4 linked regions of the Ovis aries genome follow. The protein of the gene in region 4 purifies or fractionates together with the protein of the main gene of each other region. This does not show direct contact. Links are inferred from orthologs where the notes say so. Each region holds a gene or a part of one and is shown on either strand. Other genes may lie near its edges.

The links.
Region 1: the proteins of TRIM47 (region 4) and SATB1 purify together in Homo sapiens (affinity purification with mass spectrometry; 4 studies listed by BioGRID and IntAct, with this or other methods). This does not show direct contact. The link is inferred for Ovis aries from reciprocal best matches to the Homo sapiens genes TRIM47 and SATB1.
Region 2: the proteins of TRIM47 (region 4) and FBP1 purify together in Homo sapiens (affinity purification with western blotting; 3 studies listed by BioGRID). This does not show direct contact. The link is inferred for Ovis aries from reciprocal best matches to the Homo sapiens genes TRIM47 and FBP1.
Region 3: the proteins of TRIM47 (region 4) and PPM1A purify together in Homo sapiens (affinity purification with western blotting; 3 studies listed by BioGRID, with this or other methods). This does not show direct contact. The link is inferred for Ovis aries from reciprocal best matches to the Homo sapiens genes TRIM47 and PPM1A.

What each region holds. Positions count from the first base shown.
Region 1 is NC_056054.1:276,511,669-276,518,809, forward strand, and holds part of SATB1 (DNA-binding protein SATB1), read right to left. Parts: intron 5,522-7,141; coding exon 5,410-5,521; intron 2,438-5,409; coding exon 1,983-2,437; intron 1-1,982. UniProt on the Homo sapiens protein: Crucial silencing factor contributing to the initiation of X inactivation mediated by Xist RNA that occurs during embryogenesis and in lymphoma.
Region 2 is NC_056055.1:31,786,554-31,794,413, forward strand, and holds the start of FBP1 (fructose-1,6-bisphosphatase 1), read left to right. Parts: upstream 1-3,507; 5' UTR 3,508-3,609; coding exon 3,610-3,779; intron 3,780-7,860. UniProt on the Homo sapiens protein: Catalyzes the hydrolysis of fructose 1,6-bisphosphate to fructose 6-phosphate in the presence of divalent cations, acting as a rate-limiting enzyme in gluconeogenesis. Plays a role in regulating glucose sensing and insulin secretion of pancreatic beta-cells.
Region 3 is NC_056060.1:70,530,569-70,538,349, reverse strand, and holds the start of PPM1A (protein phosphatase 1A), read right to left. Parts: upstream 4,234-7,781; 5' UTR 4,177-4,233; coding exon of another isoform or gene 4,170-4,176; 5' UTR 3,790-4,169; coding exon 3,690-3,789; intron 3,379-3,689; exon of another isoform or gene 3,001-3,378; intron 2,705-3,000; exon of another isoform or gene 1-2,704. UniProt on the Homo sapiens protein: Enzyme with a broad specificity. Negatively regulates TGF-beta signaling through dephosphorylating SMAD2 and SMAD3, resulting in their dissociation from SMAD4, nuclear export of the SMADs and termination of the TGF-beta-mediated signaling.
Region 4 is NC_056064.1:55,081,535-55,089,238, reverse strand, and holds TRIM47 (E3 ubiquitin-protein ligase TRIM47), read right to left. Parts: upstream 4,516-7,704; 5' UTR 4,485-4,515; coding exon 3,789-4,484; intron 2,811-3,788; coding exon 2,715-2,810; intron 2,421-2,714; coding exon 2,190-2,420; intron 2,030-2,189; coding exon 1,831-2,029; intron 1,388-1,830; coding exon 1,313-1,387; intron 1,046-1,312; coding exon 405-1,045; 3' UTR 75-404; downstream 1-74. UniProt on the Homo sapiens protein: E3 ubiquitin-protein ligase that mediates the ubiquitination and proteasomal degradation of CYLD.

The sequences.
Region 1 (7,141 bases), on a different chromosome or scaffold from region 4:
TTCAGTAATGACTGTTTCTCAACTGGCTATTATTAATAAAGAGATGGATATCAAGCTGCACCCAGACGTCACTCCCCTCTCTCCCTCAAAAACATTAAGTCACTGTTTTCGATGCTAACCACAGAAATAACTACCTTTTTGGAGAGACTGACAGGGCATGAAAAAGGGAGAACTCTGCCTTTTTCCCAGCATCAAACCCTACTGGTATCTATGGAATCTGTCCACGTGAAAACCCAAGAAGAACAAATGGTCACTCTCCAGGGTGATGCCTGCCTGGGACATGAGAGCCCCAAAGATGAAGAAATGCCCCGATGGGAGTGACCTAACCCTTCTCTCCTTTAGCTGGACACTCTTTACCATATAAAACATACTTTCCTCAGTCCTTTAAGAAATAACAATGTGCTCAACTTCCAAAATTCACTCACAGTAAATCTGCGAGTCGTCTGTGTCCATGTCAATGCTATCTTTGTGGGCATTCAATTCAGTTCAACAAGCATCTTATTGAACTTTTATGCAGAGACCTGCCTGCCTTTTTGCCCAGGACTGAGAACTGTGGGTAGTCAGCTGCTGTTTACAAAAGTACTGATATCAGCTGCCAGAAACAGGAGCATCGAGAAGGCTGACTTGATTCTTTCGTCTGTTCACTTTATTTCTCTAAAATAACGACCCTGCAACTGAATAAGGGTGTCAGATTAAATGTACCAGCTAATAATGAATATACTTTTAAGTTAAAGATATAAAACTAGGCAAGCGCGTACAATTTTGCCACCTGAGAAAAAACTTTTGAACCATCCCCTTAAACACAGACAAGTGATGTACAAAAAAAAGTTAAAGAACCCCAAAACAAACACTCAGTTAAAGGTTCTGTAAGGCCTCCTAACTTTCAATCCAGCGAAGGCAAGCCAAAAATAAGTCACAGCTGGGATTCTCCTAGGTATGGAAACTCTGCCAGCAAGGAATTAATACTAGATATTTTTGTACCAGGATTTTATTCTTATAATCATGTAATAAAATAACCTAAATATGAAAGGAAAGTATGAGTCAGGCTTAAAAAGAAAAAACTGACAAGAGAAGTTAACAGTGGCAAAACAGGAAAGTTAAAAGACATCATGTCCTCACCGATAATCAGTTACATGCTCTTCTGGGTTATTTTTTTGGGGGGTGGGGTGGGGCTGTCTGTGGGTGCCTGGGCCAGAAATAAACACCATATATATTGTACTAAGTGACAAAAAAAAAAAAAAGGAAAAAAAAATCCTGTCAAGCACTCTTTGTTTAGGGCTTTTCAACAGCGTTTATCTTAGGCCTTCCCCTGGATCACCCTTCTCCAGGTCCTAAGTGTCCTCCCTGCCGATAGGATCTTCACAGGAATTTGCCCAGGAGGACAAAGGCGTGAACTCTAGGGGTGCACGCAAAACTCAGTGAGAAGCCTCAAACAAGGCTTCCTAGGGCAAGCCTACCCACTCCAGCGCCTGTTTTATAAACAGTTTTACTGAAACACCACACCCACATCCATGCACTTACTTCTATGGGTACTGTGCCCTCAAAACCTAAAATGTGTACTGTGTGTCACGTTACAGACAAGGTCTGGCTGATCCCTGGTCTAGGAAAGGAAGCTAGTCGGCTAGAGGCCTGGAGTCCTACCAGTGGCCTTGGCCACGTCCTGAAACCTCTCCCCCTCGGCTACGAACACTCTCTGTTTCCGTTAGGTAAAAGCATAGGTAACGGCAGCTTGAAATATTTTTGACATTTGCTCTTTCAAGGCCCCTGATTCAGGATCCATCTGTACACAGCCTTCTCTTGGTAGCAGAGGTTTCTGCGGAGGAGAGAAGCGCTTAAACGTAGGCACCCCCAGGAACAGATCATATGGAGAGCAGGAGACGATGTTAACACTGTACACAGCACAAGAATAAAGGTTAGCACAGCCAGGGTGGAAGGGGAAGAGCGAGACAGAGAAGAACCATGTTCAAATGAACAGGACTGACCTGAGTTCTGTTAAAAGCCACACGTGCAAATACTGCCTGGGAGATTCCTGCCCGTTTCAGTTCATCACGTACCCACTGGTAGATTTCGGAAGACACCTCTGTGTTGGTGGAAACCTGCTGCTCCAAAGGTTTGTTCATAGACCTGCTGACGGGGGGAGGGTGGTTCAAGTACTGTTGGTTTAAGGACTGCTGGGCTAGAAGTCTGTTCACGGCGTACTGCTGGTTCAGCAGCTGGGCCATCACCAGCTGCTGGTTGACCAGCTGAGGGCTGATGGGCGTCGACACCAGCCCAGGGTGCAGGTTGGGCAGCGGCGTCCGCACAGAGGGCTGGCTGCCGTGGGACAGCTGGGCCGGCGAGGGGGGCTGCTCCGCCGTGCTCCCCGGGGCGGGCTGCTGGCCGAAGCTGACGTGGTTGGCACCCTGCTGGGACAGCTCCGACAGACTGTCCATTTCCACTGCAGCGGGCGAGAGGGAAAACCACGTTAGCCAACGATGCTCCGCACCGCTGAGGAGCTCCGAGCTTTCCCTAAGGACGGAGAGGCACGGGGCACTGAGGGTCCAGGAAACCAGGACATCTCAGGACAGAACCCAGCCGGCTGTGAGGCTACCTTTCTGTTCTGCACCCGGCCACCGACTCTGAAAGGGGGAAAACACTTTCTAATGCTGTGATGTGGTTTAGATTTAAGGCCCCAAATCAGTTATTTTCACATTCTATGTGACTAGTTTTGGGGTCAAATTATTATTCACTATTACTTCTGATCCCACGAAGGCTTATAAAACTAACATTTATTTTGAAAACAGCTTCTAGGGAAATTCCTGCGAATCTAGTAGTTAGGAATTGGTCCTGTCACTGCCGAGAGCCTGGGTTCAATCCCTGGTCGGGGAACTAAGATCCCACAAGCCAGGTGGTACAGATGCCCACCAAAAAAAAATTCTAGAAAAACCCTAGTTGCTTAGTGGTGACTGGAAAGAGTGAAGCTACGAAAACATATGCAGTTGTAGAAAAAAAGAAATATCCACAGAGCGACCCCATGGACTGTAGCCCGCCTGGCTCCTCTGCCTATGGCATTTTCCAAGCAAGAATACTGGAGTGATTTGCCATTTCCTCCCCCAGGGGACCTTTCTGACCCAGGGATCAAGCCTCAGCCTCTTGTGTCTCCTGCATGGCAGGTGGATTCTTCACCACTACCTGGGAAGCCCTATACATATGTGTATTTACAATGAAAAAATACTTGGAGATACATAGATTAGACTCCCTGGTGGCTCAGCTGGTAAAGAATCCACCTGCAATGTGGATTCTACCCCTGGGTTCTACCCCAGGGCTGGGAAAATGCCTTGGAGGAGGGAAAGGTTACCCACCCCAGTATCCTGGCCTGGAGAATCCCATGGACTGTACAGTCCATGGGGTTGCAAAGAATCAGACACGACTGACTGACTTTCACTTCACTTCACACATACAAAACCTGTTACCACTCCAAGAAAAAGGTTTGCAAGAAAAATGGTCTAAATATTAGCTTATGTTCCATTTTAAACCAGTTGTGAGTTTAAAAAGGTAATTGATATAATCAATAAAAGGTCATAATGATAAGTAATGATAACTGAGTTCAGACTGACCCCTGGGCTGACTATTTTACACGTCCTGTTTCACTGAGCTATAGCTCTCAAGTTAGGTGGCACGGAGAGCCGCAACCACTACTTAGAATGAAGCAACCGATTTATCATACTGCAAGCCAGTACACCCAGAGTTGCTAAAATCCAAATGCTTCCTGAAGAAGCTATGGCCATCACCAGATGCTAATGACAATCTTTCAAGGGAGAGGCGGGGAGTCATCCCGGTACAAGGTGATGTCACCCTTTTGCAATTTATTACCACCCGCCCGGGATGAATGTTTCTCCCCTAGCTAGACACCTCATGTGGGCTGGCTGAGCGTGAGCAGCAAGCGAGTCAAACGCTTTGTGGCTACAAGGAAGAGACAGCTTTGATGCTCTCGAACTGGGAGCTGACGATGGTAGGTAAGCGAGTCCTAAATAGCACACCATGGGGATCCCCTGGGGCCCAGTGGCTAAGACTCCATACTTTCTCAGCTGCGGGTCAAGGTTCGATCCCCAAGCCATGCGGTGCAGCCAATAAATAAATAGTATACCATGCCTCCCATGTGTGGACTCTGGGTTGATTTTCATCATCATTTCTCTTTTTACTAAATATTCTGGCTTTATATTTAGAGGAACTTATCATATTGCTATAATCACTGATGTATGCAAAATATAACTAAGAACGGGGAAAGAAACTTCCATCTCTGCTATCAGCCCAAGTGGGCCATTCATAGGGAACAGTAATTCAAGCAATTATTCCCAAAAATGATGTATTGTCTTCATTACAGCTCTAAGCTATAAAAGGCAAAGAATCTGTTTTGGTAGATGGATGATTTTGCTTCAAATATTAAAAGCTAAAACAGGCTCAAAATTCAGGTTCTCCTGCCTCTTAAAATCTTAAGGAGACGTTATTATTGCTGTTTTATTAAATCAATGCAATGGAAGTAAACAGAGATAGACTGAAAACATGACGTAACGCTATGCATATTAAACATCCCATTCCTCCATTATTTTAAAACATTTATTTGGAGGGGACAAGTATGTGAAAGAAAACGTTAATAGAAATTAAAGCATTAACCTTAATCACAGGGTTTGCTTCTACAAACACTAGCAGACTCAACAGGGGGAAAAAACGTCACAATCTGAACCCTCAGGTACAACACACAACTCTTATCTGTCGCTTCACACTGCAGATGATTGTAATGTGTTCCCTGAGTAACAAATATTGACCTAAAGTTACACGTTACGATAGGAGGCCCGGCGTGCAGCGTGGAGGAACGATGCAACGGTCCTTGGGTGATGGGCGGTCCAGAAGGCAGCAGACCCACCCAAGCCCCCACCCCGGGGGCTGGAGACAACCGCTCCAGTCACTGCCCGATCTCCGCTGCGGAGACTCTAGATACAGTTTGACGTCTTTAAACGTTGGGTGTAAAATCAGGCACTTTCCCTTCTTCTCCAACAAAACCAAGAAAAACAAACAAACAAACAAAAAACCCCATAAAAGCATGACTTATCTCTGGGAACCCACAGCCACTGCTCACTACTCCAGGCCTGGTTAGGCCTTCACTGAGACGTTAAAAAAAATGACAGCTCACCCCCCCTCGCCTCCATCTCCTGCGTGTCTGACAACCAAGTCGGTTGGGCTGATTTAAACACAAACATTTATTGAATTTAATTATCTCATTATACTCAGACCCACTCCCACCCTCCAAGAAACAGTCTAAATCGCCCTCTAATTGGGCAATCACAAGGCCTGGCTGCACACGTGACTGGGAGAAACCCCCGCACGACACGCGGCGGCGCGGGACCGCAGCGGCGGCGGCGCTCTGCTTACCCATCATATCTTTTGTCTTCTTGAAATGTTTGTACCACCTTCCAAATTCTTGACATTTCGCTGCTGAGACGTTTGCATAGTAAGTGCTGTTCACGATGGAGGAGATCATGCTCTGCACGGAGAGGGGGAGAGCAGTTGTAACACACAGCGGCACGAGGCAGAACACGGTCGCGATTTCAATTGCGCAAACGCGTTCCTGTTGTTTTTAATCCACGGAGGACCGACACGTTTTTGCTTCACACTTTAGCCTAAAGCTGCGACTTCCTCAAAGTCGTTAAGCAGATCATCAAACGCTTATTTCAGTAGAAAGCTGCAGCCCACTGAGACTGCTATAAAGCGATCACACCCACAGACTTGGCTCCAGCATGTATGGGAAACGCCATCTATTCCTGGGCTGACAACTGTCCACCCGTCCCAATAAATCCAAACACTTTGAGATGACTTTCTGATCGCAGTTCATAAATAAATGCCACTTTGTGGTCTGGTGCCTAAATCTCCATCCTTGCAAGTCCCAGGATGGCCCAGGGACCAGCATCATCTGGAAACTTACTAGCAGTGCGGAAGGTTGGGCCCTAAGCTAGGCCAGGGCAATCAGCATCTACAGCTTAATCAGATCCCCAGGAGGGTTGCAGGCACATTAAAGTTTGGGAAACGCCCCTTACACTGTTTACTCAGTATTTGGGTTTCAATCGCAGGTAAATTAACACTGTTCCACGGCTGACTGACCACATTTAAGAAGAAACCAACTATTCACAAAGATCTTCTATCAGAAGAAAAAAAAGCATGCTGCCATCTTATTGCTAGCTTCATATAAAGTTTGGGTTTTGAATTTCAAACTAAGTGTAACAGTTTTAAATCTATGCATTTCACGGTGGATTGTTTCTTGAGGACACCACAAACAAAGAAAACAGCCTATTCCGTCACTTCTCTTCATCCTGCATCTAACGAAAAGCTTGGAAAACAGAATCACACCAGTTTAACACAGAAAAATGAAGAAAGACGATGATTTTGACGTATGCCTGGGTTATGTTTTTTTCTTTTTTCTTTTTTAACTCATTTTCAATATGGAAAAGTACTTTCTTCCCTGCCAGTCTTGGTCCTGGTCATTTCAGGGACTTGGTCTGCAACACTCATATTCTCTAGTAGTGGCTAAGCCAATTTCTCCATTGAGCTGCAGGAATAATTCGACTCTGCAGCACCAATCTGTTCTTCTATGTGAAGAAACATGAAAACTTACCTTTCAGGCTTCAGCTGGTCCATGACAAACAATTTACAGAAGGCAACTGTTTGGGAGGTGAGACACAACCAGAAAAGCCAGTTTGGGAACAAAAGTATCTTTCACACCATTAGCTTCTTTCAGCTACTTCTAATGTAGAGCCCTTTTGGTTATCACCGATTCTCCTGACACCTCTCATCAGCGCTAATTTCCTAACATGCACCCATTCTCGTAGCACGTAAATCTCGGGGATCTTTGAAGCACTTCCAGTGAAGGATAAGCTGGAGTTACATTATCGATGTAAAACACGGCTATTCTAAGAGCCACAATGACATTTTTTTTGACACTTTCTACTTGATAGTCATTTTCACATTTTATTTCTCTAAAAAGACATTCTTAATGTGCTCATGATACTCTGCCATTAATTCAGACTAAGAGTGTCCCTCCGTCCAGGGTACAAAAAGATACTTAGCAAGGGTGCCAAAACCAGAGCCAGGAATCTGCCTGATCCAGTTA
Region 2 (7,860 bases), on a different chromosome or scaffold from region 4:
CTCAATTTAAAAGAAGCCAGGTTCAAGTCTCAGCCTGTAGGTTGAAGTCCCAATCTGGCTTCCACCTGGGTTTGAGTCCTGGCACATGGGTTCAAGTCCCAATCAATGTTGCATGGTTTCAATTAGGTCAAAACTTACAGAGACTTTTACTTGAAGGGTCTCATTTCACATGCCAATGGTTCTAAAAAAGAACCTCCTGTTAGGTCTGCCCAATGCCCCTTTAACAGCACACTCCTGTTGGAACATTCTTCCCTTCAAGGTGGTCAAGACTGAGCAGAAATGGCTTCAAGAACTATTAAAAATTCTACTTTTTCTTCTTCCACTTCTTAGACAACCCAGGGCTGCTCTGGGGAGACCGGGATTATACCCCGAGGAGCCAACTCGGGAGCCCCTAGTCCCTGTCAGTGCTCCTCTGCTTCACAGAGGCTGATCGGGGCATTCCCTTTTACCTACTGTCTTCCTTCTTGCTGGAAGCACATTGATTGGGCCTGCACCTTGGTCCCTCAGCGTATTCACCTGCATTCATCCGTCAGTGCCATGGGTTACTCAGTGTGCCCTAGGGGGCAACAGCCAGGAGAGTGGTTTGTCTCTTTAGCTGCTTGTCCTCCTTTTGTTCCTCAGCCAATATCTGGGTTATTGAACACTCCCAACAGAAATACCCACCACGTGACAGTCTGGGGGCATTTGGACCCACTGCTACTTTCTGCAACTTCCCTTAGATGTTGGGGGCCACTCTGAGGTGTAAAGTATAACCACTGGGTCGCTCTCAGGGGCATCTCTAACAGCTGTATACTGTCAGAGGCATTCTCTACCTTCTCTAAGAATGTTGATGGGTTTTCATTGCCTCCTGTTGAGTGTTTCTGACTTTTCCCATTTATAGGTCTCCAGGGAGCAGCCTTCGTCCCTTTAAGTAGGAGACTTTGATGATGCTCAAGTCGGGCCCTGCCCAGTCTCTATGGAATCCCATGTAGGTCAGTGGTGGGCACCACTCCTGTAGCTGGTCTCCAGATCTGGTGACTGGGCTGAGTTTGGTGTTGCTGCAGCCCCATAAGGCACTGTACTAATGGGATCTTGTTCCACTTTTCTAATCTTTTGCAATAAAGATCCAACTGCAGGACGGTGTTGCAATTTAGAGACCTATCTTCTGGCCACTTTTCTTGATTTTCTATTGAGGACTGGGGCCAGGCAACATTCCTGAGAAACGCCATCTGGTATTTTGCATGGGTTTATACCCAAAAGATTTCCAATTTACAATACATTCCGATGAACAACAATTGGGAACAGAAAAGTTGTTTTCCATTCTGATGTACCACAGTCAGCCACTCTCAAAGGCAGCCATTCTCAAGGGCTGACTAATGTGAGTTATAGATACCAGAGTTTGCTTGTCCTGAGCCTGAAAGTAGATTTTCCTATGGTTGCTAAGGAACTCAATTTAAATTAATTTATTAACAGATAAGACAATCAGACATTGAAGACGAGACAAACAAGGCAAAACATAAACTAGAACCCTATGACTCTAAACCAGAGTGAACCCAGACCTGCAGCCAAAGCCTCAGAACTCGAACCCCAGTTTAGTAGTCAGCTTCTGCCACCTGAAAGGGTGAGTTCAAGAACCTTATCCACCCATGTGTTCCCTGCATGCAAAAGTCTCTTGTTTCTTATTGAAAAGGGACTCAAATTGCCCCCCACCCCCATCACAGAAAAAGGTGGCTTCTAAACCAGAGGTCTGCAGTCTCCCACCGGAAGGAATGCAACCTCTCACAGTAGTAGGAAGGGAGTTCTCATTCACAGAGACCTCTGGTTCCTTAGTGGCAGGAATGCAACCTCCCAGTGATAGAAATCAGGACCTGGTCTGGAACCCAGGGTGAAATCAGAAACCCAAGCCCAACTGAGTGCTTCTCAAATTCTGGTCTAAAAGGTGAGGCTATCCTGACAACCCCAGCCATTGTAGCACCAGTTCTGAATTCTACTCACCCTCTGAAGTCTACTGGCATTGAACAGAGTTGTGCAGGTGGCCACTTGGCTCACAGAGACTGAGCCAGCGAACAGTCTGAACCAGTAGACACCCAAGAGAATGATGTCTGCCCAAGAGGACCTGGACAATCTGACCAAAATCAGAAGCAAATTAGTTCACTTCACTCCAGTGTGGCCAGCTCCCCTTGTCCCTGACCAGGGCACATGTCCTACCAGAATTGCCAGAAATTGTACAGAACTCAGAGGGCCCATCTTTTGGGGTGCTTGTAAGGAGACAAGGGCTAGCTCTCAAAGCAAGATCTCACTAATAGCACATGCTCAGTAAATGTTCCATGAATAAGTGCATGAACTGCCTTAGGACAGAAGCAATGCGCCTACAAAACCCTCCAGATGTGGCCTCGGAGCCTCTGATCTCAGTATGGTATCCAGGACACCCTTTCCTGGGTCTGTGAACATTTTCTCTGCCAAGTGCAGTTACTGGAAAGGAAGGTCTCTACCCAGGACCAGCAGGACTTTCTGAGGCCTTCCCCCATATGAGCTCCTCTTTGAAGTACCTAGATAATATAGATAACAGTATTTGATACAAGTTTCCTGAGTTATTTTGTAGACATGAATCCGCCTCCCTCCACCCCTCCACCAAATGAAGAAACTGCTTGATGACGATGAGCGCATAGCCCCTGCCACTGCCCCCTGCGGCTCCCCGCCCCCCTCAAATCTGCCCTTAAAAATGCTTTGCCAAAATGCTTTGAGGAGCTGGAAGCTTTTCAGGGTACGAGCCACCTTGTTTCCTTGCATGGCCTTGCAATAAACCTTTCTCTGCTCCAAACTCAGACTGTTTCACTTTGTTTGGCCTTACTGTGGGTTTGGCACAGGAGCTCGCATTAACAGGTCCCTTTAATAGCTCTCAGACTACAGGAATCTTGAGAACAGATCTGAATTAAGGATCCAAAACCAAGCCATCGGACAGTAAGGAACAGAGGAATCCAGTCTCTTGAAGGTGGTCAGAAGAATCAGACGACAGGACAAGCAGGGGTGGATAGAGGGCAGGGAGCAGAAGACTGTGGCGGTGGGAAGCACAGCGGTTAGAGCCTGAACCCGGAGCAGCTGGGCTGCAGCGCGGGCTTCTCACTCACTAGCCTCGCTGCACTGAGCACCGCGCTTAACCTTCCCAGCTTCCGTTTTCTATCTTAGCGTGGTAGGGCGGGAATCAGGATTGCACCTCCGTGGCCAGGTCGTCGTGCGGACTGAAAAGGACCACGGCCCAGAGTAGCGCTCTACCACGCTGGAGGCAGCTGGGCAGAGGCGTGGCGCGGCGACAGTGAGGAAGCGGAGGTGGGGGTGGGGGCGGGGCACGAGGCGGGGGTACCCCCTGCGGCTGGGGGAACTGAGACTGGACGAGGATCCCGGACGTCATACAGGGCCGGAGAGGGCGGGGCCGCAGTCGGAGGGGCGGGGTCCGGGGCGCGGAGGTGTTCCAGGGGGCGGAGGCCGGTGACCCGCGCCTATAGGCTACCGGCCCCCGGACTGGAACCTGGCCCGCTCCGGAGCCGCTGCGCTGACTCTGTGCTGCGGCCGCGTCCCACCGCTTTCCACCGCCCGCACCTGTCGCCCAGCGAGCCGCAACCGGGCCCCAGCATGACGGACCAGGCACCCTTCGACACCAATATCGTCACCGTGACCCGCTTCGTCATGGAAGAGGGCAGGAAGGCCCGTGGCACGGGCGAGATGACCCAGCTGCTCAACTCGCTTTGCACCGCGGTCAAAGCCATCTCCACTGCCGTGCGCAAGGCGGGCATCGCGCACCTGTGAGTCAGGCTTCTGTACCCCCCAGCCCCCACCCTGGCAGAGTCCTCTTTCTCTCTGGCTGGGGATCTACCAGGCAGTACGATGTCTGGTCTTCTGCCCCTGCTGTCTGTCTGTCTCTCTGATAGCTGAGATCCCCACACACTGTCTCTGGTAGCTCCTCTGCAGAAGCTCAAACCACACTCAAGCTCTAGTTCCCCCCTCCCTCAAGCTTGTGGGTGCCCACCTCGGGGGACTGTCTCACAGTCCATACCTGCCTCCACCCTGCAACCGGCGCCCCTGGGCTGAGCAGCCTTGGCACCTCTCTCGGCCTCCTCCTGGTGAAACTGACTAGCCCCATGGGCACCTGGCCTGCCCACCACACCCACCCTAGCCTCGAATGGGAAAGTGCTGGTCCCCGTGCCTCCCTTTCCGGTTTTCTATCCTTTTGCTTTCATTCCCTTAGAAATTGGGGTCCCAAGTCAGGTTTCTAATTGAGTATCTCCTTGACCCTGAACAAGTCTTGTTAAGAAGCAATGGGTAAGCCAGGCTGGGAGGAGGCTGAGAGGAAGCCTGCAGTATTTAGCGCCTTCAGGGCTTCAGTGCTGGTGTGCACGGGGCTGCAGAAAGTCTGGGGTGGGGCTTGAGATGCTGGATTTCTAAGTTCTGTGGTAGTAGGGCTGCTGGTCTGCAGATCACATTGTGCATAGAAAAAGAATGACAGGACACAGAGATTCAACAGGTACCTTCTAGTGAGGCTTTTACGTTACTAAGACAAATACCCTTTGGTTTATTCTGGTGTGCACAAGTATTTTATGTTTAGACTGGTCCTCACTTTAGCTGAAGGATACTTAGGTTTTCAGATTGCTCATACTCCTTCCTAGTATTTCTCATACTTAGGAGCACTTCATAAGCATTGTACACAGTGCTCATAGCTGCTGAAAAAGCCCAGCCCCGAAACCTGGATTCCTTATCTCGTCAGTTCTTCACCTTTGGTTTTACGGTATGGCTTGGTAGAGCTAACTTAAAAAAAATTTTTTTATCTTATATTGGAGTATAGTTTATTAACAATGTTCTGCTAGTTTCAGTTGTACAATAAGGTGATTCGGTTATACATATATATGTATCTTTTTAAAAAATTTTTTCCCATTTCGGTTATTACAGAGTATTGGCAGAGTCCCCTGTCCTATACAGTAGGTCCTTATTGGTTATCTATTTTAAATACAACAGTGTGTACATGTCAATCCCAAACTCCCAATCTATCCAAGCTGACTCTTAAGGCAAGAGTTTATCATCATTTATTTGCAGATGTCAAGCAAAGTTGGGCCCTGATGGGAGAGGGATTGGGAAGTATGTTAGGAAGGTGGTGACTCCATTACTATTTCACCTATGGACCTTCTCAATACATGTCTAAGGAGACTTTACTTTAGGAAACATTCAATTAAATTCTTACTTTAAATGTAACATACAATAAGTAAAAGTGTCCTCTCAGCTTTACTTGACTTTGAAAACCAGGGGGCTTATTTAAAAAGTGAAGGGAAGTGAAAGTAACTCAGTCATGTCCGATCCTTTGCGACCCCATGCACTGTAGCCCACCAGGCTCCTCTATCAATAGGATTTCCTACTGTTTTAAAAAAGAGTGCTTGTCATTTTTGTATTGTTTAAAAATGTGTCAGCACCTTTCACAACCCCAAAGAGACTCAGAAACGCAAGATCTGCTTTGAGGTGCATCTTTCCCACCTTAGGGCTTCCCCGGTGGCTCAGCTGATATAGCGTTCGCTTGCAATGAGGGAGACCCAGGTTTGATCCCTGGGTCAGGAAGATCCTCTGGAGAAGGAAATGGCAGCCCACTCCAGTACTCCTGCCTGAAAAATCCCATGGATGGAGGAGCCTGGCAGGCTACAGTCCATGGGGTTGCAAAGAGTCGTACATGACTAAATGACTTCATTTCTTTTTTTCCCACCTTATAAGTAACCTCAGATAGTGGGACCATAGGTAGTGGGATATTAGTTGAACCTGGACAAAGGGTGCCAATTTTGGCTGTATGAATTGTGTATATTTTTAAAACTAGACACCTGTAAGCACTAGGTTAAAAAATAGTTTTTGCTATAATTATAAATTCCTTTATATGTTGTGCGTGTGTGTGTGTGTGTGTGAGTCATTCAGTTGTGTCCAACTCTTTGCAACTCCATGGACTCTACTGTCCGTGGAATTCTCGAGGCAAGAATACTGGAGTGGGTTGCTGTGCCTTCCTCCAGGGGATCTTCCTGACCCAGTTATTGAACTTGGGTCTCTTGCATTGCAGGCAGATCCTTTCCATCTGAGTCACCAGGGAAACCCTTTATATGTTACTCAACAAAAATTCAAACCACTCAGAAGAACACAAGGGGAAAAGTGAGACCCACCATTACCCATTTCCTGGGGTATCCACTATTCATAATTTACTGGGTTTCTTTTTTTTACTAGATACTTCTCTATATTCATATAAATTTATACATGGATAAGCACTTCCATGTGACTGTTTGTAAACAGCAAACAAAATGGGATCACACTTGACATCCTTTCTGCAGTTTGCTTTCACTATTCAACTCTATATGATGAGCATCCTCCAGTGTCAGGGCATGTAAACTCACCTCCTCCTTTTTAACTGCTGCATACTGTTCACTAGGGTTTCCCAGGTGGCACTAGTGGTAAAGAACTTACCTGTCAGTGCAGGAGACATTGGAGAACCAGGTTCTATCCCTGGGTCAGGAAGATCCCCTGGAGGAGGGCATGGCAACTCACTTCAGTATTTTTGCCTGAAGGATCCCATGGACAGAGGAGCCCTGCAGACTGTAGCTCATAAGTCTGAAAAGAGTTGGACACAACTGAAGTGACTTAGCACACACAGTGTTCCACTGTACATGAGCTATTTGACATTTCCCGTATATTTGGGCGTGTCACTGGTCTTTCACTATTTCAAAGAGCATTGTACCCATGAAATGGGCATTTCACATGGTCCTGTGGATGGCTGACGGAGAAAGGGTAGAACCTGAACATTCAGTACTCCTGTGGGAAAGTAAGTTTGACTGTCTCTGTATCATATGTAGTTGGGGAGGGGGCCATAAGACAAGATCTTAACTTGGGCTCCAAATTATGCTTATTATCGGCTTTGATATTCTGGATGAAAAGGCTAGCGTACCTGCAAATAACTTGTTAGTGCTGCCGACTTGCCCTAGTAGGGCATCTAGCCAGAGGGACAAGATGATTGCAGACTTTCAAGAACCTTGTGGGACCAGTTTATGGATGTCAGCCCTGACTCCTCATCAGGCAGATCAGGAGTTTAAACACAGCCTGGAGCTCTCTCTCTTAAATTTTAGAAGTTACTGAGAGATAAGAAAGATATAGAGCTTATGCTTTAGGGAAAATATTACATGTATAAAGTTAGAATACAATAGAGAATTTTTTCTAAAGAAATTTGGCCACATAAGCTGAGTTTTTGAGGCTGGAGAAAGGTAGGAAGATGATTCCAGGCTTAGCTGCAGTACTCGAGATCTTGGTTCCTACCTGCAGGGGGTCTTCCTTTCAGAATGAGGGATCTAGGTCCCTGACTAGGATCAAACCTGGGCCCTTTGCATTGGGAGCATGGAGTCTTAACCCCTGAACCACCAGGAAAGTCCCAGCAATAGAGATTCTGAAAGATACTTTTGTACAGTTGGCAAAAATATGTGGATGTGAGAGATGGTGGCCCAGCATGATGGGCATTTGTAGTGGGCAGGCAAAGCTGGTCATAAGGCCTGTTGGCTGGGCTGCCGTCTGAGGAAAGGTACAAGCTAGGAAGATCTTTCTGGAAAAGGTGCTTATTTGGTTTGACTGAAACCTGGAACCCTTCAAGTAACGTAGTGATGGAGCATTTGTGGATGTTAAATTGTGAGTGCATTGGGGGAACATTATGTGGCAAGGGTGAATACTTTGTCTTTGAGGGGGTGACCAAAGGAGAGAGGTACAGGTTTTTGAGTGGGGCAGTGCCACTATTGGAGATTCATCTGGGGTAGCTATGACTGGAAGCACAGAGTTAGAAGAGGGAAAGTGAAGACGCGGAAATCCAGCAGGATTCAGAACTAT
Region 3 (7,781 bases), on a different chromosome or scaffold from region 4:
AAGTCAGAAAATTTCCTCGCTAACAATGAAATAGAAAATGAAGCAACTCAATCTTTAAAAGTTTGTCACCAACATATGAGATGGAAGACAGAACATATTCTGGAATAAAGTTACTAACCAAGGTACAGGAAGGCACAAACTTTTACCTAGTTGCTTCACAATACCTTTTCCTTACCCTAAGGTCCATTTATTTCACAGGGCCACACCTTGTTTTATCTTCTATTTGACTCTTACAGGACTTCACTTGCACAGATTTTCTTAAAGGGATGCCTCCTTCCTCTGCGTGGGTAAGGATGGAAAGTAATCAAGAGTACCACTCAGAGTCAGGTGCCCAAGTGTCATTCAGGGGATCATCAAAATATCACCTTACAATTAGTTATTTAATTGTAACTACATGATCATCAACTCACATCTTAAGAGATTAATCTAGCACTCAGGCATGAGCATTTCAGGGATAACAAGCTCCCTATGGACATATGTCAGTCTTTAGTTTTAAATTTTCAAACAAATAAGCATTTGCAGTTAAACCAGAATCAGCTACACATGCTATCAGCCATTCTAATAAAGTCTAAGTGTTATGTGAAGAAATTCAAAGACTGTAGGTTTTTTTTACTAACTGCTTAGCAATATTTACCATGTGACAATACAGTGTACTATAAATTTCTTTGAAAAAACTGCATATTAGAGAACAAATTTTCAAATGAAGGTTTATTAACGAGTCAAGATAAGCAAGACCCAGCTTGAACTGACAGGAAAACCTGCACAATGTGTTCTTAAAATGCCCTTCACATCAAATTACCAAGGGTCCTGTGCTTGTTCAAACCTGTAGGCTCAATCACCCTTTGTCTCTTGCGGAATCTCCATCTGCCTTCCTCCCAAGAGCTTTTCTAGACTTCTCACTCCCAACAGAAAAATCAGTAAAGGCTACCCATAGGAATATCTTTCCTAAATAAACCACTGACTTAAAATTCTTTCAAGAAAGACACAACCCTGAAAGAAAATCAGGGCCAGAATGCTGAAACATCTAAGTGCCTGGCACATAACAGCTATTGAGTCAAAGCCTATTAAACACACAATGTTGAGAATAAGAAACATTTGATAATCTACCCCTTTGGCTTTGCTGATGTTTGGAACACAACCACGACCAAACAATTCTTGACTCCTAGTGCAGTGTTGCTTTCAACAGTTTATACTGTACTTATAGGCATCAATTTTGTTCTTCAAACTAAAATATAAACCACCTTTATATGTTAACACACACACACATCACATAAAAAGAAATTCTGATGACTCAAGCATTCGACCATCTTATTTCTCAAATATATACTGAGGTACCTAGCCAAAGTTTACCAGTCTTAATATACCTCTTCCATAAAATAATTACTTCACTGATGTGAAAAATATCTAGTGATATCTAATCAAAAATGTCTTAACTTCTATGTGCAGTTCATTAGTTTCCAAAATGTAGTATAGCTGTACCTTGCAGGTTAAAAGTAATCACTTTATGATTGAAAGTTTAAACAGATACATGTGAGTTACACATAAGAACAGACCTAAACATCAAACAAGAAATGTTACTTTGTGCTTCAAATTGTCAAAAGAAACAAAATCAATCAAGAAAATCAAAAGAAACAAAATACACTTACAAAACAGGGAGCGGGGTGGGTCACGATTGCCCTACTCAGTTTCCTACTCTCTAAAGAGTTACAGAACCACTGACTTTGGAAAAGGCCCAATATGTAAATAGATAAAAACATTAAAGTGAAATTGTTCTTGTTAAAGAGCAGGTAGGGAGCAATCCCTGCTGAACTGAGAGTTCTGGAACTGCTAAGGCTCAGAAGAGCACTGCTAAAAATCTCTGACTCTGTTCAGAGTTCTTTGCACCTAAAAAGTGGTTGTGTTTAAAACCCCAACGTCCAAGTTTGAAAAGATTAAACCTTTTCCTAGGAACAACTTTTTAAAATTTCTAATTTCCTTTAGTAATGTCAAAATCATCTACTCCGGGAAAACAAAAACCACCTCCCATAGGTTTTTACATCTCCCATACCCTTCCAGTCACTTCTTAAGATGCATTCGGCTTATTACTCCAATCAGTAGAAAATTTAGAGTTGGGAGTTGGGGGCGGGGGGCGAATAGACTTCTTGGCTTGCACAGCTGAAGTATGACCTTTGTGGATTTTTAAGAATCGCGGTACTTGGTACTCTGGGAGGGGGCGGCGGGGAACTCAGGTGATGAGATTTTCAAAACATATCTAAAACTGCGGTTGGCAGAGGCTCTCCACAGCCAGCTGTCCTTCAAGAAAATACTTAACATGTACAAGCAAAGCAGAACCACACCTCAATAAACTCTAGCATCAGGAACTTTTATAGGTTAAAAAGAGGAATCAGTTCGATTTACTTCAATGGATTTGTTCGATGCCTAAATAATGAATGAACTGGAGGCATCACTGACTTGAGTTCTGAAGGAACCTCACTCTCAGCACGGTCTCCATAAAAACCTGAAGCAAATTCCCCCAAATTTAGTGTTTCGAGGCCAAGTCCGGTCCGAAGGAAGCCTCCCCCCGCTTCTATCTCTCGGCCTCGCTCCAAGGGTTGGAGCCCAGGAGGGTGGGGGCGCCGGACGCCCCCTCCCCGCTCGGGAAAAGTTCCGCCGGCTGCTCTCGGGACAGGCCGGGCCGCGGGCCTCGTCCGCGTCGCCCGCTACTAACATCGAGCCGGGCCTGGGCGGCCGGAGGGTCGCGACCCTCCCCCGGCAGCCGCCACCAACACCCCGCCCCCGCCTCCCCGCCGCCGCCCTCGAGGAGCGTTAACCCCTCGCCGCCCGCCGCCGGGCTCCGGGGAGGAGGCCGGGCCAGGGGGTGGAGTTGTCGCGTCTCCTCCCGGGAGCGCCCGGGCAGACGCCCGGCTTGTTTACAGGCCCCAGGCCCCAGGCCTGGCCACCGCCGCGCAGGCCCACGCCGCCCGCCCTCCCGCCCGCCGTCGGCCCGAGCGTCGCGCTTACCCGGAGCAGCCGCGGACGGGCAAGTCCCTGGTCCGCCGAGGCGGCGGCGGCGGCGGCGACGGCGGCCGGGGAGGGGGCGGGAGGGGGGTCACCGCGGCGGCGGCCGGCCAGGTCAGGCCGGGGAGGGGGCGGAGGAGGGGAGGAGCCGGGCTGCGTCCGGGCCCCCGGCTCTCGGCGCCCTCGCGGCTCAGATCATCCGGGCGTTGGAGCGGGAGGCGGAGAGCGGGTCCGGGAGGAGGAAGAGCCGAAGAGTCATAGCTTTCGCGCCCCACCTGCCTGGCGCCCCCCCCCCCCCCTCCCCAACCACCGGTTCCCGAGCTGCAGCCGCCGGAGCACCCGAAGCTGCAAGGCGGGCGGGCGCCGAGACCACAGCTCCCTCCCTCCCGCGCGCGCTCCCGCCCCTAGAGCCGCCACCACCGCCGCCGCCGCCGCCGCCTCGAGCGCGTCCCCGCGCAGGCGCGCTCTCGACGGCGCCGTGCTGCCCCTCCCCCACGCCTCCGACTGCCCCGCCCCGCCCCACCCCTCCCCGTCGGCTCAGCCCTCGCTACAGCTGCGGCGAGGTGGAGCAGCTGGAGAGACCCGGATGTCGTTGGGCAGGAACCGCAGCGCCGGCCGGCAAGCGGGGGACGGGGGGAGGGGGGAAGGGGAGAGGGGGGAGGGGGCGGGCGCAGATGACGTCACTGCCCTACCCGGTATCTTTCGCCGCAGTCGGCTTGCTACCCCGGCCTCAGACCGAGGCTTGAGGGAGCATCGCGAATCCCGGATCGGAACTGGAACCGGGGCCTTCATCTCCCGGCGTTGGGTTGGACGGAGTGTGTGATTGTTAGGAGCCCCAAGAATCGAGATGCCCTCCAAGCCTGGCAGTCTGCCGACGGGAACTCAGACGCTCCCCCGTGGCATCCCGGCCTCCCGGCGCGGCGCTGCCATCTGTCTGCAAATACACAAACCGCTCCCTGCTTAGGCGCAGTCCACAGAAGCTGAAGGACAACCCCGTGCTTTCGACTTCTCTCGGGCACGGTCGCGGCCTGGTCGAGGCCTGGCTGCTGCGGCTCAAAAGTTAACTCGGTGTCAGGCCGCCGCCAGACCCCCTCCTCCAAGGCTCCACACCTCCAGAGCCACCCTAGCCCCAGGGACCCTTGGAGACACACGCAGGTACCCCAGCTACACACCTCGCATCTCGAAGGGCAACTACCCATACACCGTACTGCCACCCACCCACATGCGAGTGCAACTGATACACACAGGAGGCACATGCTCTGAGATTCTGGCCGGTTTCCAGCCTGTAGCTCGTGAGGTTCCACATTGTGTTTATTGGCACTTGTTAGACAGTCACGTGATTCTGTCACTGAGGACTTCCAACGACCTCCAGTGAGGTTAAAGAAAAGAAAGATTTTTCAAATTCCAGAAGACAATAAAAACGTAACAGCTGCTTATATTAAGAGTTGCTGCTGCTGCTGCTTGCTAAGTCGCTTCAGTCGTGTCCGACTCTGTGCTACCCCATAGACGGCAGCCCACCAGGCTCCCCAGTCCCTGGGATTCTCTAGGCAAGAACACTGGAGTGGGTTGCCATTTCCTCCTCCAATGCATGAAAGTGAAAAGTGAAAGTGAAGTCGCTCAGTCGTGTCTGATTCTTGGCGACCCCATGGACTGCAGCCTACCAGGCTCCTCCATCCATGGGATTTTCCAGGCAAGAGTACAGGAGTGGGGTGCCATTGCCTTCTCCAATATTAAGAGTTGGAGATCTGCTAAACCTAGTTGAAACTGAGCGTTCAGGTGACCAAAATCCAGCTTAGCTAGCTAGACCTCGGAGGACCCACGCTGTTTGCAGACGCGGGGGATAGAATGACAAACCCTAGGCGGCCAATGAATCAGAACTGAGGCGCAGTACATCACCAGCAGGGTCTCCTATTGGCTGGGGCGTCCTTCCTTTCTCTCGTCAGAGACTTAACCTGTTCAGAGATTTGACCTACACCACATTTGCAGGAACAGAAGTTTAAAGATCTGAGATTTTAAAAATTTTTAAGATTTGAGATTTAAAAAAAGATAGATTTGAGATCTGAGATTTAAAAAGATGCTCTGGTAAATACAAAGAAAAACCAAACACTTCATTATTAGAGGCAGGTACTTTAAAAAGAACAACTGAAAATATTATCCAAATAGTGTTCTGGCGGATAAGAAGGTAAATTTGTGATGGGGCCTCTCTATTTTATCCCAGGAGCTTGTATCCTACTTTGTATCTCTTAAAATACAAGTGCTTAGTTTGTATCCCCTAAAACCGCTTTGTTGCTCCAACTCTTAGATCAAAAGCAACCCATTTATTCTGTCCCTGCCATTTAGCTTGGGCTTCCCTGGTGGCTCAGCTTGGTTCGATCCCTGAGTTGGGAAGATCCCCTGGAGAAAGGAATGGATACCCACTCCAGTATTCTGGCCTGAAGAATTCCATGGACTTAACAGTCGCAAAGACTCAGACACGACTGAGCGACTTTCACATAAAGTGAAGTGAAATCGCTCAGTCGTGCCCAACTCTTTGCGACCCCATGGACAGTAGCCTGCACCAATCTCCTCCGTCCATGGGATCTTCTAGGCAAGAGTACTGGAGTGGGTTGCTGTTGTGGCTCAGCTGGTAAAGAATCCGCCTGCAATATGGGAGACCTGGGTTCCATCACTGGGTTGGGAAGGTCCCCTGGAGAAGGGAAAGGCTACCCACTCCAGTATCCTGCCCTGGAGAATTCCATGGGCTGTATAAGTCCATGGGGTTGCAGAGAGTCAGACATGACTGAGTGACTTTCACATAGCTGCTTTTAAAGCTGTAAAAGCCATCTGGAGTTTTCCCAACATTTTTGGGAAGATTCTGTTCCTTTCACTTTCAGGTCTGGGACCTAATAACAGTATCAAACAATATCACCTAATGATCACTGGCAGGCCACTTCTTCAAGGAACTTCAGTGTTATTCTACCCAGTATCTTTGTGGTTAGGATTTCTTAGAGTAAGATGAAGATAGGATCCTTTCCAGGTATACAAAGTAAAAATAAAGTTCACTTATATATTTGGTCCCAGTATTATCTGAGGACATATTTCCTAATTAATTCTCCCCACATTTACTAAAAGAAAAAAGAAGGAAATTAGATCAAATATCTTTGAAATTCTACCTAATTGGAATCCATAATGCTTCAGACGTGGATTGCTAACATCCATGCTAACATCTACAGGCTAGCAGCATGATTAGCATGCTAGTGGACTCATTACCATTCTAAAATGGAAAAGCCCATGTGACTGCCCGTATTTGGAGCACCCTTAGAAAACAAATTTTCTTATTCATAAGACAGAACCTGGGTCACCAGTGGACTATAAAGAGCTTGAAGGTCTTGCCTGTCATTCTGCTTCCTTCCTTTAGGCTACCACATCTTTCTTCTCTCTGTTCTACACTTATAGAAGAATCTGAGTCAATTATAATGGAAGAGGTAGAAAAATAGGAAGTATGAGCATAAAGAAATTTTTAAGGTGTCTGTAGTGTACCATAGACTGCCAATTAAGCTGTACCTTCCCACTATTTATTTCTGAATACAGTTTGCAGGAACATTCAGGTATTGCAGGTATTCATGAGGAAACTCATAGGTTGTAAGATGAACAGTTTAAGATTTGGAAGAAAGATATCTTAATATTATCCAAATAAATGTTTAGATGTGCTTGATGTTAAATGTGCTTGATATAATAGCCTCTTCCTTATCATTAACATTATACTACATTTTATATTCCCTAAATATTGTACTAAATAGTCCCTAAATATTATGCTAAGGGCAAACAATTAAACTACTAGAAGAGGGGAAAGTGACATTGAAAAAAGAAGGTTAAATTTTCTTCTCTTTTCAACTACAAGGCTTTGCTTGGGCCTCCTACACACATTTGGGATGTTCATAGTCAGTTTTGGCAAAACATCAGTGAGAATATATTGCCATAACTGTACTTCAGTAATTTTTACAGGTATATTGTAAAACTGTTCTACTCTGCTTCAGAAATCTGTTTGTATTTCAGTTACCAAAGAGGAAGGAGGTTTTCTGAAAGGTTAGTTTTCAAGTCCTGGATTTACCTGTGTGCCATTAGACTAGTAACTGAGAGGCTTGGGGATGAGGACAGGCAGTGATGAATTGGAAGCTTACCCTGGTCAGCAGTACTCCCATCTTTTCCTCCACAATCAAGATTTTTTCTTAAGGTCTACATTTTTTGTAAACCCAAATTACTATTGTGAATCCATCCAAGATAGTCACCTAAGACAGCCTGGCTTGGGCTTCTCGAAATATTCTCAGTGATGTAAGTAGCCCCTCAGGTGAGACCTGTGAACCCCTCAGCTGAATCATCCATCCGTTCACACTGAGGCCAGTCACTACCCAAGAGCCACAAAGCCAAGCAGAACACATACTCAACATCCTTCCTCCTCCTCCTCCACTACCTGTTGCACGTATTTTTCTCACAGATATCCTCTTCTTCTTATGTCCTCCTCTTCTCTCTTTTCTCCTTCTTATTCTCTCTTTCTTCTGTTCTCTTCTTGTCTCCTTTGCTCTTCTTTTTTTCATTTTTCTTTTCTCACTTTTCCTGAGCCTAGTAGAAATTACAGTTTCTGCTACCCACTTTCTCCTGAAGAAATACATATGAGCTGCTAGGCCCCTACACTAATTTTGTTGGGAGGGGTAAACCCCCCTCACCTGACCTTCCTTGCTCCATCCTCTCTGACCATAGCAGGTCATGAAAATCAGCTGTTTAAAGGACAGTCACAGAATGAACAG
Region 4 (7,704 bases):
CCATGAGGTCACAAAGAGTTGGGACACAACTGAGCAAGCACACACGCAGGAGAGAAGGGTAGAAAAGGGAGTCATTCAGAGACCAAACGTTTATTGAGCACTTACTATGTGCCAGGCACTGTCCCAGGAACCCGGGAGAGGAGGGGTCAGGGTAGCTTGGAACTGTCCAAGCTGCGGTTCCCTCTCCCAGAAACAAGGCCTGCAGGGGGACAGGGTCTGGGGGGGCCTCCTCCCTGAGAGGTGGAAGGCCTTGGGTACAGAAGGTGGAGGCCTCTAGGAATGAGAAGGCTGGGGAATGTGTGGGGGTCCGAGGCTGTTGCCTTCTCTGGTTCAAACCAGGGGTGCAGAGAAGCAAGTTTCCCAGGAGCTGGGTCAGCAGCGGGAGGCGGCCCCGGGCCCCTGCATCACCTCCTCTTGAGCGCGGATATGCAGGACTTCTTGAGGGGCCCGATCTGCAGATGGGCGTCTACACTCTCCAGGAAGAAGGCAGGCTTGAGTCTGCGTGTGAAGAGCCCCGCAAAGTGGCTGTCCAGGCGGCTCTGGAAGGGGTCAACCGGGGAGGCCGGCGTGCCACTCCGGCGCGCCCGGGAGGCCCTCAGCCTCCGTAGGAGGCTCATCTTGCCGTCCCGCACGGTGTAGAAGGCCAGGGCTCGGTCAGCATATTCCAGGCAGATCCCCACGGTGGGTGAAAAGGGGTGCGGCAGGGGTGCCTCCTGCCCGTGGAACCAGACGGAGAAACTGCGTCCGTTCCACTGCAGGCAGCACGAATAGGCGTTGCGGCCCAGCCGGCCCCGGTCGTAGGGCTCTTGTGGGGAGAAGTCTTCGGCCATGACCCCCACACTGACCCAGCCTTCAATGATCTCCACCTCCCAGTAATAGGTGCCCCGGTCCAGGGCGCCCTCGCCCAGCACCTGCTCGCAGTGGGTGAAGCGGGTGGGCGACTCGGGATAGTTAATAGGACACAGCACCCTCTTCACGCCCTTGGTTCCAAACAGCTGCAGGAACTTGTCGGCCGTGTCACTGTCCAAGTCCACTATGTAGGCAACTGCCCCCACACACCGGAGAGAAATGCAGGACTCAGGTCCAAGGTCAGGCAGGGCAGCCTTTCCCCGAGGGGCCCACCTCCCCCAAACACCTCTCCCGTCCTTTGTAATGAGCATGATTCAGCCATCACGGGGAGCCCCCCGTGAGCTGACCTAGTTCACCCTCTGAACCGGGGACAGGAATCCCAGCCCATGGGCACTTAGGGCCCAGCCCAGCAGCCTTGGGAGAGCCCAGGTAAGCATCCTGGCAAGCCCAGGTGTCAACTTACACTTGAGGAAGTAATCCCTAGGAGCCTCACTCTCCAGGTTGTTGGTGCTGTCGGGGTCCTGGGACTCAGCGTCTGCTGCCGAAGAGGAGACAGTCGGTGAGGGCCTCCTTAGCTGCCTGTGGCTGGGCTGTGCAAGGCAACCCATCTCTGAACCTGTGATTGAAATCCTCCTCCTCCATCCTCTCAGCACCCCAGGCCACCTGGGGACAGGCACATGCCCAAATACGGTACCCTGTGTTCATATGCATGCTGGTCCTTGTTCTACATCCCATGTCCTCCCTGGGCTTCATCCTCTCTGAAGCCAGAGGGTGTGCCAGGACAGGCCCTCTCTGCCCCCCGGGCTGCGGCCAAAGGGGCTGACTCGTGATTACAGGGTGGTGGCTTGAGTCCCTGGCAGGATTTGGGGTCCCACCCTGTTCTAGGCACAGTTTCCATCCTCCACTCCTGAGCGGGCCCCGGGCCTGGGGCCCTGTGCGGGGAGCCTGGGGAAGGGTGAGTCACTTGCAGGGGGCGCCCACCTTCCGTGCCTGGCTTCTGCAGCCCGTCTTCGTCACCGCCCAGCCCCCGCAGCTGCTCCCACTGGCTGGAACAGGCCGAGGCCAGGACGACCTGCACCGCGCGCACAGCCTGGGAGGACTTGGTGAAGCTGAGCTCCCTCGGGGGTCCGGGCCCGGGGCCGCACCCCTCCTCCAGGGCCAGCCTGAGTGCCAGGAGTTCCTGTGCCAGACAGATGCCCATTAAGGCTGAGCTGGCCGCCGCAGCTCCTCCGGGCATGAGACAGACAGCCTGCCAGGAGGCCAGCACAGCCACGAAGGCAGCCCCCCGCGGCCTCCTCCTGCGGCTTCGGTGCCCGCTGCACCCGCAGAGCCGCCCTCACCTGCAGGAAGCTGACCGAGTCGGCTTCGGGGACCTGACTGAGGTTGTGGCGGGCCCTGCTGAGTCGGCTCCGCTGCTCCTCCTGCCGCCGCAGGTCGCCTTGGGAGCGGCCCAGCATGGTGGCCTCCCCCTCATCGATGAAGCCCAGCACGTCCGTCTGAAACCCCTGCAGGACGGCTGCAGCCTCGGCAAACAGCCGGCTCACCCTCTCCCGCTCTGCCACGGCTGCACTCTGCATAGGACAGTGGGGGGCGGGCAGTGAGGACAAAGAACGCCCCGAAGACGTTTTGGCCACCTTCTCAGACCCCCGTCTTCCCACCATGTCTTGTTGAGGGCGGGGGGTGGACAGAGGCACCAGCCGAAACTGCCCTGGGTCTGTGCCAGGTCAGGGGGGAGACAGGCTCAGTGGAGCTGGGCCACGCCCTGGGCACGGGCTTCTCTGGAGTGGACGGTGCCATGCTGAAAGCTCACAGCGCCAGGAGCCTGGGGCAGGGGTGGACGGGGGCTGAGTTGCACGGGATCTGACCTTGATGAGGGCCACCGTGCGCCGGGACTGAGCGATGCCCGCACCCAGCTCGTCCATGCGGTCCTCCACAGCGCTCAGGACTTTGGGCTGCTCGGCCTGTGGATGACACCCTCAAGGTGAAAGGGGTCTAGAAGTAGGGTCCTGGGCCTTACCGAGGGGGAGGTGGGGGTGACCAGGAGTGGTATCTGGGTCCAGGTGTACTGGGAGTGGTGATGATATACCAGAGGGGCCTCAAGCCCAGGCTGGTTCCCTTTCGGAATGTCTAGGAGAGGGCAGGCTGGTGGGCCGTGGGCTGCCTGCCTCCCCCTCTTTGACTGGTGAGCAAGTCCAGGGCCCTCGGGTCCACCATGTTGCTCATTGTGATTTGAGAACTTCCCTCCGCGGGAAAGAAGCAGAAAGTGAGGAGGGGCCCTGCGCAAGGTCTGGGAATCATTGTCCCCCAAGAGTCTGTGTCCCCAGTCCAAGCCTGAAAAATGGGGATTCCGGGCAAATCCCCTGGGTCTTATGAGTCACCACTTCAGGCAGGAGAGACGGAAAATCCCAAGGCCAGAGGCGCCAAGACCAGGCCTGGGGCCAAAGGAAACGGGGCGGAGGTAACGGCCGGACAGCCAGTACACGCGCCCACCACCAGCCCCCGGACAGCCAGACAGGGCGCTCTGTGTGCTCAGCCCACCCTCCGCCGCACTCCTGTCGTCTGCCACACCCATCCAGTCCCTCAGCCCAGGCAGATCTGAGCGGGACCGGCAGGAGCCCGGCCAAGGCACCGGCCGCCCCCCGGGGACCCTGCGGACCCCACCAGGCTCCTTTAACCACCCCCCACCCCATGGGCTCCGCCCCAGCCTCAGTCTTCCAGCCCGATTTTTGCATCCTTTTCGAGTTCTCACTGGGTCTCTCCAACCCCCATTCTCATCCCGAGAGGAATGTCCCACAGCGAGCGGATGACGGTCAGGGCTGGAAGGCACCGCAGAGATCCTCAGGTTAGAGAGGGGAATTAAGGATGGCAAAGCAATGAGGGGTCCTCGGCCGGCGCGCGAGGCGCATCACCCGCCCCCACCCGCCGCGCCCGCGCCCTACCTCCTGGAGCGCGCGCTCCTGCTCCAGTGGCACGAGCTCGTGGCCCCGGTGCTCCTGGGCGGCGCAGGCCTCGCACAGGCACACGCGCTCGGCCCGGCAGTAGCGCTCGAGCGGCCGCAGGTGGCGCGGGCACAGGCTCTCCTCCAGCCGGCGCAGCGGCGGCACCAGGCGGTGTCCGCGCAGCGCGGGGCTGCGCTCGTGCGGGCCCAGGTGCGCGGGGCAGAAGGACGCGAGGCAGGAGAGGCAGGAGAGCGCGGCGGGCAGGGCGGCGCCTTCAGGGCACGCATCGCAGCGCACCGGCTCCTCACCGGGCGGCCATGACTCGGGCGCGCTGGGAGCCGACGGCTCCGGGGCGCTGGGCGGCGCACTGGGTGTTGCCGGCTCGGGGGCCGGGGCCGGGGCCGGGGCCGGCGGGGTAGGGGCCGGGCCGGGGCCGGGCCCCGGGCCCGAGCCCTGGCGGAGCTGCAGCAGCTCGGACAGCGTGTGGTTCTTGCGGAGCTGGAGGCCGTCGGGGAAGGGTTCCTGGCACAGCGGGCAGCGCTCCGTGCCTCCGGGGCCGCCGGCGCCGCCCGCTCCGCGGTGCGGCCAGAGCGCGCCCAGGCAGAAGAGGCAGAAGTTGTGGCCGCAGGGCAGTGTCACCGGCTCCCGGAGCAGCTCCAGGCAGATGGGGCAGCTGAAGGGCCCACTCCCGTCCATGACTCCGCGGCCACGGCGCACCGCCTGCGCCGCTCGCGCCTGGGAGGGACCCGGACCATTCGCGACGCGGCGCCGCCCCCTGGGACAGAGGCCAAGGGTCCGGTCCCCGCCCGCCCCCGGCTCGGACCGCCCCCGAGCGCAAAAGGCCGGCCAGTACTCGGCCCCGTCCCGGACAGCGTGGGGGTGGCCTCTGGGCCCCAGTCTGACCCCCTAGGGGCTCCTGGAGGAAAGGGCAGTGAGAGAGAGGGCAGAGGGCATGTTTTTGCCTCTTAGTGACTCTACCTTCGGTGGGGAACTTGGGCTTCTCTAAACTTAAAATGGGAAGTTGATGTCCTCCAAGTCTACTGTCCCACGAATTCAGTTCCAGCCCATGGACACTCACGTGATGTGCCAGGGGCTCGGGCTGTGGGTTCCCCAAATGGAGGTGTTCGCTGAGACTAGTGTAATTAACACTTGAAATGGTGCATTTTAGTATATGTAAACTATACCTCCATAATGTTAAAAAAGAACAGGATGGCAACAGAATAACTAAAGGAGCACTGGGTTTTAACCCTAAGTATAAAACAAACTTCCATGAGTTCATGCTGTTATAAATAAATCTCTGGATAAATAAATAAATGGAGAATAGACAAATTTCCCACTCAGAGGAATTCTAAGCAGCTTTGGCACATTCTCCAAGATGGAGAGTGGCTTCCCACTCTGCACGTGTGGAGGGTGCCAAGTGACTTCCTTCCAAAGGGAGCAGAAGAGTAACTTGACAGGGTACAGTGATGAAAACCAGCCCAGCCAGGTGATCAAGGTCAACAACAACAGTGATGTCATGTTCGGCAGTAAATACCATTGATATGATGTGGTCTTCCTTCCCACAGTCCCACTCTAATTATTATTAAAACTTTAGACAAATCCCAATGGAGACGCAGTCTACATAGCGCCTTAAGAGAAACCCCTGAAACTCTCAAGGTTGTCAAGCAGTTTCCCTGAAAGTTTACTTTCCGTCTGAAAAATTGTCACAGCCGAGAGAAGTCCATGGAGACATGATAACTAAATGTCCTGTGTATTCTGGACGTGTTCCTGAGAGAAAAAGGATGTTAGGGGGAAACAGGAAATTCAAATAAGTTATGGAATATAGTTCATAAAAATGTATCAATATTGGCTCTTTCATTGTGACAAATGTACCATAGTCATGATATGAGCAAAAGGACAAATTGGGAGGGAAGTATAGGGGGATTCTGAGTGATCTTTGCAATTTTTCTGTAAACTTGTAACTATTTTAAAAGTTCAGAAAACAGGTTCCCCTTGTGGCTCAGTGGTAAAGAATCCGCTGCCAGTATAGGAGACACGGTTCGATCCCTGATCCTGGAAGATCCCACACACCACGGAGCAACTAAGCTCCTGTGCCACAACTATGGAGCCTGTGCTCCAGAGCCCAGGAGCCGCGATGACCGAGCCACAGCTCCTGAAGCCTGAGCCCCCTGGAGCCTGTGCACCGCAACTAGGGAGTGGTCCCCGCTCACTGCAACTAGGAAGAAGCCCGAGCAGCAATGAAGACTCAGCACAGCCAAAAATACATTAATAGGATTAAATTTTTAAAATTCATTAAAAAAAATAAAATAGTTGAGGCAATGCTTCCTACACTCAGGCCTGCAGACCTCCTGCTGATGAGAGGCCAAAGTGGAAGGAATACACAGATGGAGAGGGTTGATCCACATAGAGGTGGGGAATAGCCTTTCTTATTCCTCCAGGGCCCGGTCTTTCCAGAGTAATTTTTTTATTTTTATATATTTATTTTTCTATGTGTTGGCCACACCATGCTGCCTGTGGGATTGTAGTTCCTGACCAGGGATCGAACCCGTGCCCCCTGCAGAGAAAGTATGGAGTCTTAACCACTGGACCACTAGGGAAGTCCCCAGAGTAATGCTTTTAAATGCACAAAATAAAATGCACAGGGTTCCATGGCAATCAATTACATTGAAATACAGGTACAAAATATAAAGAAAACAAATTTGTGATAAAGTTATATCTGTGTTTCTTTAACACAAGAACAAATAACAAGATCTGATGGAGGCCTAAGAATTACTGCGTTTTTGAGACAGTGATGGATGTAAGCATATTTCAAGTTCTCTGTCATTTCTGTAATATGCTATGAAAAATCTGTCATTTTTATTGGTGACAAGTCACAGCTATGGCTAATATCACTGTGGTGTGTTTTTTCTCCATTTGTAATGGAAAGTAATGCTAGATTACTGTTAGAGGACATTGAAAATAAAGAGAATTCCCACCTCTCAAAAACCTGGATTAAACATGGCTAATTTAGGGGGAATTCCCTGGTAGTCCAGGGGTTAAGACTTGGTGTTTTCACTGCTGTAGCTCCGATTCAATCCCTGATTGGCAAGCTAAGGCCCCACAAGCCATGCTGCTGCTGCTGCTAAGTCACTTCAGTCGTGTCCGACTCTGTGCGACCCCATAGACGGCAGCCCACCAGGCTCCGCTGTCCCTGGGATTCTCCAGGCAAGAACACTGGAGTGGGTTGCCATTTCCTTCTCCAATGCATGAAAGTGAAAAGTGAAAGTGAAGTCGCTCAGTCGTGCCCGACTCTTAGCGACCCCATGGACTGCAGCCTACCAGGCTCCTCCATCCATGGGATTTTCCAGGCAAGAGTACTGGAGTGGGTTGCCATTGCCTTCTCCGGGAAAACAGCTATACTCCAATAAAAATAGAAAATCTGATTTAAAAATATGCTGTGCAGAGCCTCTTGAAAGGAGAGACGAAAACTAAGATCTATTAAATATTAAAAGAGGGGTGGGATCCACTCCTGAGGAATTTGTGGGATGTGGGTGGAGGGGAAGTCATGGTGGCCTTCGTGGAGGAAGTGTCATTTGAGTTGGGCTTTCACAGACTGCTAGGGCTTGGAGACGTGCAGAAACTAGGGTGGGAAAAGACCTTCTGGGCAGAGCAGTGGGTGGACCAGCCTGGGTGTGCCTGGTTTGGCAGAGAGGCATCTAATGAGTTCCGTAAGTAGTTTCCACAAGGAGCACTTGATTTGATTGCCCCTTGTCTGCCAAGATGAGGGATGGTTCAGAGGCTCAGACATCAGAGGCTTGGCAGCCAGGCTGCCTGGGCTTGCTGAGACCACAGACCCGCTTGGCTTTGGAAGGGAGAGGAGGTGCCACTCGGGTTTGGGGGTACATACAGGGGACAAATTCCACCCTCCGCTCCCCAC